3 linked regions of the Elephas maximus indicus genome follow. The protein of the gene in region 3 interacts with the protein of the main gene of each other region in a pairwise test. Links are inferred from orthologs where the notes say so. Each region holds a gene or a part of one and is shown on either strand. Other genes may lie near its edges. The genes, in order: KHDRBS2, ASF1A and PRR3.

Region 1 (3,749 bases), about 34 Mb from region 3:
TAAACACTATGCGTCTTTTGGCATAAGTCATAGTGAACCCCAAGATAATTAATCATCACTTTCTCTGTTGCCCTTTATGTCTCTGAAATCTGGGCACCTCTCTTTGTTTCTTACTTAGATGCTGTCCCCTTCTGTTTAGGTGCTTTTTCTCTTCTTTACAAAAGCAGGACATGCTTCCCCCTACTGGGAAAAAATCAAATTACAAGGTACATCCGACCATGTTTCTCAGGTATCATGAAATCAAGTTCCTGGGAAAGAAAAAGTGTTAAGAAACCAGGTGCATAACCTTCTCTGGCTGTTTTACCAGCTGCAGAAGTATCTATGCACTCTGTTAAGAGTTTCTCCTATGCACTGCTTTAGTTTAATTTTCAAAAGTACAATAAATCTCATTAATGACTGATGAATTAATCATGGAGCATGCAGTCCCAAAGAGAACTCCAATTAGCAAGTTGGAGAAAAAGATCAATTTGTAACTTTTTTTTTTTCATTTTAAGACATACTAGCTAAATGAAGACACTTCTGAAAAATATATTGAAATAAACTTTTCGAAGAGGCTTAATTGCATTTTCAAGCCATTTTTGAACAATCCTGAACATTTATAGCTTCATTAATTTCCAATATTCCTAGTATTTTTACCTAGCGGTCTTAATTTTTGCAGTAGTTTTAAAATTTTTAATTGACTTTTATTCTCAACTTTAATTTCTATTTTTTTCCATTCAGTAGCCAAGAAACTAGTAAGCACAACTGTACTTTACCCTCCGCAAATCCTTCACAAAACGCATTTTTCTTGAAAAACAGTTCAGTTGTTTCAATCATATATTCCATATTCTAATTAGAAATTTTTTCCAGGCAAAGATAGAACACAATTTATGCTTTATTGTTATCCTACATAATAATCCATCAATAAAATATTAAAATAAGCCTAATGCCTACTGAATCATATATGGAGTTGTAGAAAAATTTATCTTTCCACATACAACTAAGTCTCAAAAATGGCATTTCTTTTAACGCTGAGGGGCTGAGAAAGAGAAAGTTGTCACGGTTAGTTTTACTGTAGTTAAATCCATAAGAACCCAAGCTACAAAACTGCACTGTAGCCAATTTGATGATGAAGCAATTCATTATTCATGAAGCCTTCATCCAAAAAGTCTGTACTTTTTTTTAAGTGTGTATAGATTACTACAGATACTGTAGGAATCTTTATCATTTTGAGGGTAGTATTTCATGATAAATGGAGTAATTGGTTAATATTTCTGCCATGCAGAAGTTGTGTGTGTGTGTGCGTGCGTGCGTGTCTTTTTTTAGACGACCTTTCAAAGCAATGCAAAAGACAAGACACACATATTCCTCTGGGAATGGAATCTCCTTTAACAGTACAAGTACATAAAAGAAAATGCATACTTGGTAAAAGAGTTGATCAATTGAGGAGCGTTCCTAGGAACTAGTACCTAATCATCATACTTCAAATAAATTTATAAGCACTTGCGCGTCTGCTTGCGACATTCACATACATACACGAACATGCATACTTACATCTAGGTTGATTCTAATACTTTCCATAAGAAAGACTAATTAGATCAAAGGGTATCAAAATCACTTCCCAAATGCAGTAAAAAATGCTGATCTGTAGCTATACAAAGCTCTCAGAACACTACACTGATCACCATTTACTTCCAAACTCATTTCCCTTCCCTCTGCGACGTGAATATGTCCCTGTAGACCGCGTTACACTTTATGGTTTCTCTATCAATGGTCCACATCTCCACTGGCAGTAGATCTCGCAGCTTTGGTCTTCCACAAATTAAGACGTGGAGGAGAAGGAGCATAGGTGCCCACTCCAAGAACGGGCTCTGTCTGCCCGAGGGGTGAGGCGAGCACCTTCATTCAGAGGGACAGTTTCTGTGAAGGTGGAGACAGGCGTCCCTCCCCAACTTCACTCCCCTAACCCAGCTGGCGGCGAGATGGGCGGCCGGGTGGCCCGTGCCCATCGCAGGGGGCAGGTCCTACCTTCCGCCAAAAGGCGCGATGCGTGCACAAAAGATGGATCCAGGCTATCTTTCTCTGCCATCAGCTCAGGCAAATATTTCTCCTCTTCCATAGCTCGGACTTCGGACCGTCCCCGGGCGAAGCGCAAGGTTCCGCTCGCTCGGACGCAGGGTCGCCAGGCAGCGCCTAGCTCCTGCGCTGCTCCGCCTCCGCCGCGGCGCGGGGATCTCCGCGCGTCCTCACTGGCCCATGCACTGAGTGCCTGTGACTCCCGCCGTCGGGCTGCGCGGCCCCGCGCCCACACCTGCCAGTCCCTTCCCCGGTCCCTCGCTCGCGCGGAGCCCGGGCTCACACCAGCGGCCTTAACTGGAGAGGCGGGAACACGGTGCGTCCCACCTCTGCCAACCATTCATTGGTGGTGGTGCAAGGAGAGGCGGGTCCCCAGCGAAGGCGACAGGGTCTTATTGGGCCACGCTGCACATCGGATCGCCTGACTGGCAGGAGGCAGCTGCAGAGGGGAGGGGTGCTCAGAAGGTGCAAACGCATTCTTCTTGCAGCGCAAGCCTTCCCTGGTTATTAGGCATGCCCAGTTCTATGGAGCCCTCTGTGTCTTCAGCTGAGGTTCGGATGGAGAAGAGCGGGAAAAGCACCGGTAATACAGAGAGGCTCTGGTCCAAGACAGCAGGAAAAATGAGGGTGAGAAGTGAGCAAAAAAGGAATGGGAAAGCGCCAGGGAAAGTCTCCGGAACGTAGATGGGACTTCACCTGCGTCCCAAAGGCACAGGTGTCTTCTCCCTCTCCCGCAGCTCAGATGCACTCCAGTTTTGCAGTAATCAGCCGTGCACTCGGTCTGAAAATATAATGAATACTGCATGTGATCGGCGGCTGGTATTTTCAGTGAGCCTGACCTACATCTCAGGGACGCAGATAAACAAATAAAGCGGCTCCGGGGCGATATTGTTGTACACGACCCAGAGCGCAATCATTCGGGGTATTGATTTAGTTCTGGTTTCCCTCCCATCCAGCCTTCCTTCCCCCTACCCTTGGGAGAGAGATTGCCGGGGAAGAGGAGTGAATTTAAAAAATAAAAAAAAAAAAAACTAAAAACAACATAATCAATTGGCCACAGCTTGTGAAGGAATTAGAAGACATGTGGAGGAAGGAAAAATAGGCAACTACAGTTGTTCTAATTCCCCCCCCCCCTTTTTTTTTTCCTTATTGTAGATGTGACAGTTTCTTTCACCAGGCATTGTCGCTGAGCTACTTTATATCTTTCCCACCTCTGTTTAAAGGGAGAGTCTAATCCTCCCAGTATTAACAACAGCGGAGGCACAGCCCATCCTTCTCTTAGATAAAAACAACCAGCCAGCTGCTAGTTGCCGTGCAGTTTACCTGAATCACCAGGACCCCATCTGTGTTAGAGTAGAATTGTGCTCCATTGGGTTTTCAGTGGCTCATGTTTGAGAAATAGTTGGCCAGGCCTTTCTTACCAAGGGGCCTTAAAATCTAGGCTGTGTTCTTCAAATTCTATAAACCACTCTTTCCCGTGGTCTTGGGCTCTCTTTTCACAATCATTTTTAATGCCTCCCTCCACCATTTTTGGTGTGGGAGGAAAAGGGCCAAGATCGCTAGAAATAAGACATGCTGAAACTTTGCCAAGTTCTGTTTCAGCATTTGTATCTTTTCCTTATATTTTTAAAAGATAAATCCAGGAAATTATCTTGAATTTATATGAAGTTTAAAAAATGTAAAGTGCTTCCACA
Region 2 (3,749 bases), about 95 Mb from region 3:
AATGCCCAATAATCACGCCCTAGGAAATGAGGTGTAAAAGTGGAAGAAAGTGTATTCTTGACATCAGTAGTGTAAAAACCTTAAGTGTGATTCAGCTGGATTCTGAATGGAAAACATAGTAATTTGGCTTCCATGAACGGCGGGTTTCAACCATCCGATATAACAGCTCTGGTACAACATCCTGAACCTTCTATCTCCCTTGTTGAGAGCTGAGTCTTAAAATGGAAGGCATCACCTGAGAAATAACTGTAATTTGAACTTCTAATGCCTAAAACACTGTAGCGAAAGTTGGAAGGGACTGATCTATGGTTTCTCTTACATTCCCTGACTTTTATACGCAGTTGGCAAGGAAAAGGAAAAACTGTTAGGTATGAAAAATGAGCCTGGTATCTGAAATGCTTGTAGTTGTACTATGAGAGAGTTATCAAGCAGTTTCCAAATAATAGGAAAAGCATCTTTAATTTTACAATCAATTTAGCAATTAGATTAATAAATAGATCTTTCAAAATATGCCTTATATTTAATATATATAGTTATGTTAACCTAAGGGTTGGAAGTTCCAATCCACCAGGCGCTCCTTTGGAAACTATATGAGGCAGTTCTACTCTGTTGTATTTATTAAAACTGGATGGAAGGACACATATTAAAGTGTTAATTGTGGTTACCTAAAGGAGATGGGCGAAAACAATGACTAGAGAACTGTTAACTTTATATACTATCTGTACATACAATGTTTAAAACTAAGTATAAAGAGCAAATATTGCTTTATTAAAGTTACCACCCTATGTAAAATACACTTTATAGAAGTTAAAAACTAATTTTTTTAATGAAAATAATGCTTTGCATGCCATGATTAGCACAATTATTTTAAATGTATTTTGTCAAAAATACATGTAGGTTCAAAGAAGCAAGCCCCTACTGTAAAATTAACATTGATGAGCTTAAACTTTTTTCCCCTAAATTCTGAAAATGAAGCACTGTATTGATTTAATAAAATCGAAGTTAAGCAAAGGTAAGACTTTGGCAAGTTTTCACTTTCCAAATATTTATTACTGTAATACTAAAAATAGTTATCTTTTTTAAAATCCTTAAACGTATTTAGAAAAAAATAGTGAAAATTTTTGCATTGCCATCAGGACTTTACCTTTTATTTCTAGCTCACTTTTGTGTTTAAAGTTCAGAATGTATTCTGTATCTGTGTGGATGTGGAGTTATTTTAGTTAGAATTCAACACGTTCTTGAAGCCAAGTCTTCTTTGACTATTTAGAAGCCAGTGATTAAGTCCTGGAAATTTAAGGATTTTACTTATTTGTGCTCTTGGGTTAAATGTAACTTTCTAGCTTAGAAACATTTTTCTTCCTGAGAGAGAGGAAAGGAGATTTTAGTCATTAAGGAAAAGGAATTCACGTTCGTCGGTGCGAGCTTACGCGCCAGCATCCCGGGCTCCGGAGCATCCCCGGGCACCCGGAGCAGCCCGGTGGCTGGCCGGGGAGGGCCCGCGGTCCCCGGGGAGCGTCGGCGCCCAGCCCGCGGCACGGAGGGGCCGAGCCTGCGCCCGCCTCCCCCGCTGGTTGGTCGAGGGAGCCAGAAATCAGCGCGAGAACAGCCTCGCTCTCCTCCCTGAGGCGGCCGGGCATGGCCACCCAGGAGAGTAGGGCAACTCTTCCGTAAGCTGTAAAAACGGACTTCCCATTCACTCGGGGGCAGGAAGGTGGGCAGGCCGGGCGCGGGTTCAGAACCCGCGGTGGGGAAGAGGAGGCGCCGTGACGCCGGCGTCCGTAGCCCAATTCTCCAGTCTTGGTAAGATGGCTCCGTTCCTAACTCGCCGCCACCGCCACATACACACACGCCTCTCCTTCCCGGGCCTCTACCCCGGGGCCGCGGCAGTCGCGGAGGCCGTTCGAGGCGGGGGGCCGGCCCGGCGCGCCCCTCACCCGCCGCCACCGCGGGCGCGAGTGAGGGTCTCGCGAACCTCCCGCCCCCCAGACAAAGCTGACAACATGGCTACCTCCGCTCGAACAAGTTCCTCGCAACTTGAGCTGCCGCGGCAGACGCCTTGGCTGCGGCCGAACACCGCGCGCGCCTCAGGGGCCGTCGTCCATCAACTTCAAGTTTCCCTCCGCAGAGCTGAGACCGCAGCCGCCGGGCGCCGAGCAGCGCCAGCCGCGCAAGGCCGGGCCCGGGAAACTTTCAACGTCTGCAGCCCGCAACTGACAGCCTGGGCGGGCGGCGGGCGCCGCTACTCACCTTCAGACAGGTCCTCGATGCACTCGAAGGTGATCTCGAACTGGAACGGGTTGTAGAAAGGAGAAGGGTTATCCAGCACCACTACATTGTTCACCTGAACCTTTGCCATATTTTGAAAAACAAACAATGGGGACGGGGCTTGTTGCGGCACAATAAAGTCCAGCGTGCGGCCGCTCCGGTGAGCGCAGACCCCCGCCCCGGTGCCGGCCCGACGTCGTGCAGTGGCGACTTGAGAAACTTTTTTTCCTTTTTATTTACACGGCAGCACTCAGTGTTTTTGCAGCTTTCCTATTTCACTAAACTACAGCCCATTCTGCTCGGATAACTAGCAGCGTTGGCCGCGATTGGCTGCACCGGAGCTCTGACCCTCCTCCTCCAGCAAGGGCCTCGGCAGCGAGCAAGATGGGCTCCCGCTCCCGGAATGGACTCGGAAACTTTAACTGCGGCTCCACCTGCTGGTGTGGATTAGGACAAAGGCGGAGAACAAAGTGAGTGGAATACGGGCTGGGAGGCCCGCGCGGAGGACGCCGCCGCAGGCGGGGGGAGGGGCGGCGCAGGCCCCGCCCCCGGCCCGGCGACTCCCGCGCCTCACGTCGGGCGTGGCCGCGGCGGGCACGGGGAGGGAGGCGTGACCACCGCGAGGGAGGTGAGAGGAGAGGCCGCGGCGGCGACGGCCGGGGGCGTGGCCACATGGCCTAGGGCGTGTTCGCAGTGGCGGAGGCGGCGGGAGGGCGCGATCCCGGGCGACGCCCGCCTCGGTTTTGCATCTTGGTTTTTTTTTTTTTAACTGAGCTCTTTTTTTTTTTTTTTTTTAAATCAATCAAGGGCCTTGCCGGCTTTCCGCTGAATTTAGGAGATGAGATTCAGTTCAGTTGTCTATGTATCGGGTAGTATTTGGAGTAGAGGGAAGGACTGGTTGCAGTGGAAGTAAATTGCATTTTATAGCCCTATGCCAGCTCGAAAGGAGTAAAGCCATTTTGGAAATTTTAGTGGTTGGGCAATATCTGCTTTTGGGCATGACAGCACCGTTGGATAAATAGACATAAAAGATGAGGAGATGCTTTTCCACTCACACACTTTGCGTGGAAAATCTGAATAGGCTATCTTTGGGCTGCACCTGGGTCATCTTCGTCTGCATTCGAGATCTGAAAACTCCTAGGGTGAGAAAAACGTTACTAGAGATGTGATCTGTTACCCCCCAAAATTACTGCCATTTGGAGGGCATAGCAGGAACGTAAAAGGTGAAAAAGAAAGCGTGAGGACGCTAAAAGGCAATAAATAGAAAATGAAAAAGAACACAGAGGTATACCAAAACATTTGATCTTTTAAAAAAATTAACGGTTATACCGTTATGAAGTTAAAAATTTGTGGCACCTCAAACAAGATTCTGAAGAGGTTTTGCTTGCCTGTAACCACTTCAGGTCTTAACTGAGGAAATGTGGATTTCTGCTGCTTGACGACTCGGAATCGACTCGACGGCACTGGGTCTGGGTTTGGGGGTT
Region 3 (3,749 bases):
ACGCCAGCGCCGGCCGGTTCTCAGGGGCCATAAGATCCCCCTCCCCAGGCGGCCTGGCTCCTCCTCACCCCACCGCACCTCTTTCGAGGCCGGGCCCTTCTAGTCAGTCGGCCCAGGACCCCCCCGGAATTGCGTGAGGGGACTCACCCCTCCTCCAGAGAGCTGCGGGGATGGCGCCCCGTACGAGCTGAAGGGATTCCCCTCCCCCAACTCCCTCTCCTTCCCCATCCCTTCCAGATGTCGGGGGGCTAAGGTGGAGGAATCTCCTCTGCGATCGCCGGCGCGGGTCGTCGCGCGCTCCCCCCCTCCCACGCCCCCCAGAGGTGCGGAGGGCACACCTCTCCCTCCAGATGTGCGGGAGCCCGAGCCCCGCCCCCTCCTCCCTCGCTGACCTCGCTTCCGCTCTCGCTTGTCCTGCAACTGCTTCTTCTTCTGCTTCACGCTGAAGGGCTTCTTCCTCGGCATGGCCCGGACCAGACACCTGGCCCGCCCTCCGCCGAGCTCCCTCCGCCTCAACTGACTCCCCCCCGGCAGCCCCCGCCGCAGGGCCCCGGGACCCTAGAAGGGGCGGGGCTAGCAGGTGACGTCAGCGGGCGGGCCGGGCCACTCACCGCGTCGGCCTGACTGAAAGGCGGACAGGGCAAATACAGTCACTTCCCTCCAGGAGCGTGGCGAGAGGATGATGCCGCGTGGCCTACCCGCGCATGAGAGCCGGTCGCACCGAGAGGGCGCAGCGGCGGCAAGGAAAGAGGTGCGCGTGGGAGGATCGGGCTAACTTCGTCACGGACGCTACCAACTCGCTATCGGAGGAGGGGAGACGTATGTCATCACTACCTTGCGCGGCCGGCGAGAAGCTACCACTCACCTGGAGGGGGAGGCGGAGCGGAGGGCGGGCCCTACCACCCAGGGGAGAAGGGGGCGGGGACACATAGAAGCTCCCTTACCAACCCGGAGGCTTGACCTTAGTGGAGAGCCGAGACGGCGCGTCCCAGGAGTGAATACAGGTTGCTGGGCTACAGCTAGGGGCCGGGGCAGAGGTCCTGAAGGGCAGGTGGCGATCTGAAGAATCTCGGGCGCTGCTCTGCTGGGACCCAAATTCTTTGTGAGAATGATGACAAGGAGCGAGTTTACAGATTTATGTATAAGCGCGGGCGAGGAGGAAAACCTACATGGGATAAAGACTTTCGGAGAGAGGTCGGAGGGCACGAAGTTGTGCCTGCAGCTGTTACCATGGTAACCGGGTACCGGATGTGGCGATCTTAGGATGCGACAGCCCTCGCTTCTCAGGCCTCCTGGCCCAAGACCCTCTCGACTATATGGCACACTGTGAGGAACGGGTTGTGGTGTTTTCTCTGCGGCGAGGAAGAATAGAATATTTTTTAAGCCTCTATAAAAACGCAGCAAAGAGAAGGTTCTACATCGCGTCCATGCCTGGCAAAGACCTGAGGATGCGGCTGCAGCAGAGACTCCCCGCAGCCTTCCGGAAGTGAAATGGCGGGAGTCTCAGCCTCACTGTCCACCGTCCCCCCGGAAGCGGAAACAGAATCCCAGCTTGCCCCTTCCTCACTGCCCTCCAAATTCTACTGCAGCCATTCCCGCAGCCACGATGCCAAAACGAAAGAAGCAGAATCAGCAGCAGCAGCTTCCACCGCCGCAGCCCCCACTGCCAGAGCCGGGAGAGACTGGAGACGAGGACGACAGAAGTCCCATCGGTGAGGAGCCCGGGAGGTGCACCTGCCTGTCAGCCCGTCCTGGCGAGGGGCTAGGGGCTGACAAGGTGGGGAGGAGATCCTCTAATGGAAGAAGGAAGGGTGCACGCGCTGGGAGAGGGGGCCTATCTGGGATGAAGCCCTGAACGTGGAGTTCTCTTATTTGGACTTTCAACCTTAATCTGACCCCCAAACCTTTTTAGAGAAGGCAGGGAGGAGAGGATAAAGAGCTCGTGCGCGCAGCCGCAGAACGGCAGGGGAGAGGAGCCGAAGAGAGGTTGCAGATTGGGGTGACTAGGATGATTTGTGATCAGATTTTCACAGGAAAGGTGAAAGTGCAGCCTTTTCTCAGCTGCTCTCTGGGGGGGGAGGGATGGGAAGGAGAATCACCTGGGATGTTTTGAATATCAACACTGTAAGAAAAATAGAAAGTTGTCAGTATCCTTCCCACATTATTCTCCCCAGGGCTGAGTCTCTACTTTTTGCAAACCCTGACACAGGTTTGCAGAGAAAGGGCAGATAAGTGGAGTGAGAACTGGGCAACATGGCTGAGAATATATTTGGCTTTGTTGGTTGGACTAAGAAATGTGTAATAGAAGAAAAACACACGTAAGAACTCAGTCATTTAGTCCACTCTAGTGACCATATTTTCATGTCTACTCTCAGGACCACCCAGCCTTCTGGGCCCTCCCCCCATGGCCAATGGAAAGCCTGGTGACCCCAAGTCAGGTGAGAAGGAAGGGGCCCTGAACCTTGGATTAAATCCTAGAGAAGGGAGCAAGGGAGGGAGTAAAACCCAGGCGGGACCTTAAATCAAAAGACCAGTGCTTCTGTGCCTAAGTAAATGGAGAGATGTTGATAGTCACAGAGTGGAAACTCAATGTTGTAAAAATGTCATTTCTTCCCAAATTGATCCATAGTTTCAATGCATTCCCAGTCAGAATTCTATCATTTTCTTGTGGAGATAAAGATTCCACCTACATGTCAGAGTGATAAACTGCCAAGATAGTCTTGAAGAATAAAATAGAGGCCTTACTCTGAATATCAAAACTTAATTATAACAGTATGGTATTAGCACGGTGGTAGACCTATAAGTCAATAGAACAGCACAGAGCTCAGAAACAAGCCTACACGTATATGTATTATGATGAAGGTGGCATTAGAAAGGTGGTCTTTTCAGTAAATGGTGCTGGGTCAATTGTATGTTCGTGTGGGAAAAAACAAACTCTTAATCATACTGGGTACAAAAATCAATTCCAAGTGGACTGTAGATCTATAAGTGTGAAAAGTAGAAGAATAATTCTAGAAAAAAGTTCTTACCACCAAGAAACACACACACTAACCGTAGAGAAAAGATCACTAAATTGAACTATGCTAAAAAATATAAACTTCTGTTTATTTAAGAGCGCAAAGGAGTCCCTGGGTGGCACAAACAGTTAAGTGCTCGACTACTGGCCGAAAGATTGGCAGTTCCAACCCACCCGTGGGGCCTTGGAAGATAGGCCTGGCAGTCTGCTTCCAAGGATCACAGCCTTGAAAACCCTAGGAAGCAGTTCTACTCTGCATATATGGGGTTGCCATAAATCGGAATCAACTTGAGGGCAACTAACAAAAAAACTCAAAAGGAAGTGATAGAGTGAGAGAAGATGTGTGCAATGTATGTAATCAATGTGGAGCTTGTATTAAAGAGCTCTTCCAGACAGTCTGTTAGAGAAATGGCAAAAGATGAGAACAGGCACCATCAGAAAAGAGGAGATCTGACTGGCCAATAACATGTGAATAAATACTCAACATTAGTCATCAAATGAATGCAAGTTATAAACAACACCACTTTTCACACTCGCCAGATGACTAAAATGAAAGACTGGCAATAGCAAGTGTTGTCAAAGATATGGAACAACTGCCAGTGGGAGTACAAATTGGTACAACCACACTGAAAAAAATTGACATTAGCTATTAAACTTGAACATACATGTACTCTGTGGCCCAGCAGTTCCTCTACTACGTATATACTCAACAGAAATGCATACATAATGTGTG

What was found.
Region 1: the proteins of PRR3 (region 3) and KHDRBS2 interact in binary tests that used the Homo sapiens proteins (3 or more experiments, as listed by UniProt). The two-hybrid records come from large-scale screens. The link is inferred for Elephas maximus indicus from reciprocal best matches to the Homo sapiens genes PRR3 and KHDRBS2.
Region 2: the proteins of PRR3 (region 3) and ASF1A interact in binary tests that used the Homo sapiens proteins (3 or more experiments, as listed by UniProt). The two-hybrid records come from large-scale screens. The link is inferred for Elephas maximus indicus from reciprocal best matches to the Homo sapiens genes PRR3 and ASF1A.

Annotation. Positions count from the first base shown.
Region 1 is NC_064819.1:124,917,587-124,921,335, forward strand, and holds the start of KHDRBS2 (KH domain-containing, RNA-binding, signal transduction-associated protein 2), read right to left. Parts: upstream 2,327-3,749; 5' UTR 2,099-2,326; coding exon 2,008-2,098; intron 1-2,007. UniProt on the Homo sapiens protein: RNA-binding protein that plays a role in the regulation of alternative splicing and influences mRNA splice site selection and exon inclusion. Binds both poly(A) and poly(U) homopolymers. Phosphorylation by PTK6 inhibits its RNA-binding ability.
Region 2 is NC_064819.1:186,030,146-186,033,894, reverse strand, and holds the start of ASF1A (histone chaperone ASF1A), read right to left. Parts: upstream 2,689-3,749; 5' UTR 2,357-2,688; coding exon 2,248-2,356; intron 1-2,247. UniProt on the Homo sapiens protein: Histone chaperone that facilitates histone deposition and histone exchange and removal during nucleosome assembly and disassembly.
Region 3 is NC_064819.1:90,905,660-90,909,408, forward strand, and holds the start of PRR3 (proline-rich protein 3), read left to right. Parts: upstream 1-1,409; 5' UTR 1,410-1,606; coding exon 1,607-1,712; intron 1,713-2,375; coding exon 2,376-2,438; intron 2,439-3,749. Other genes in the region: GNL1 (guanine nucleotide-binding protein-like 1), read right to left, coding at 393-465.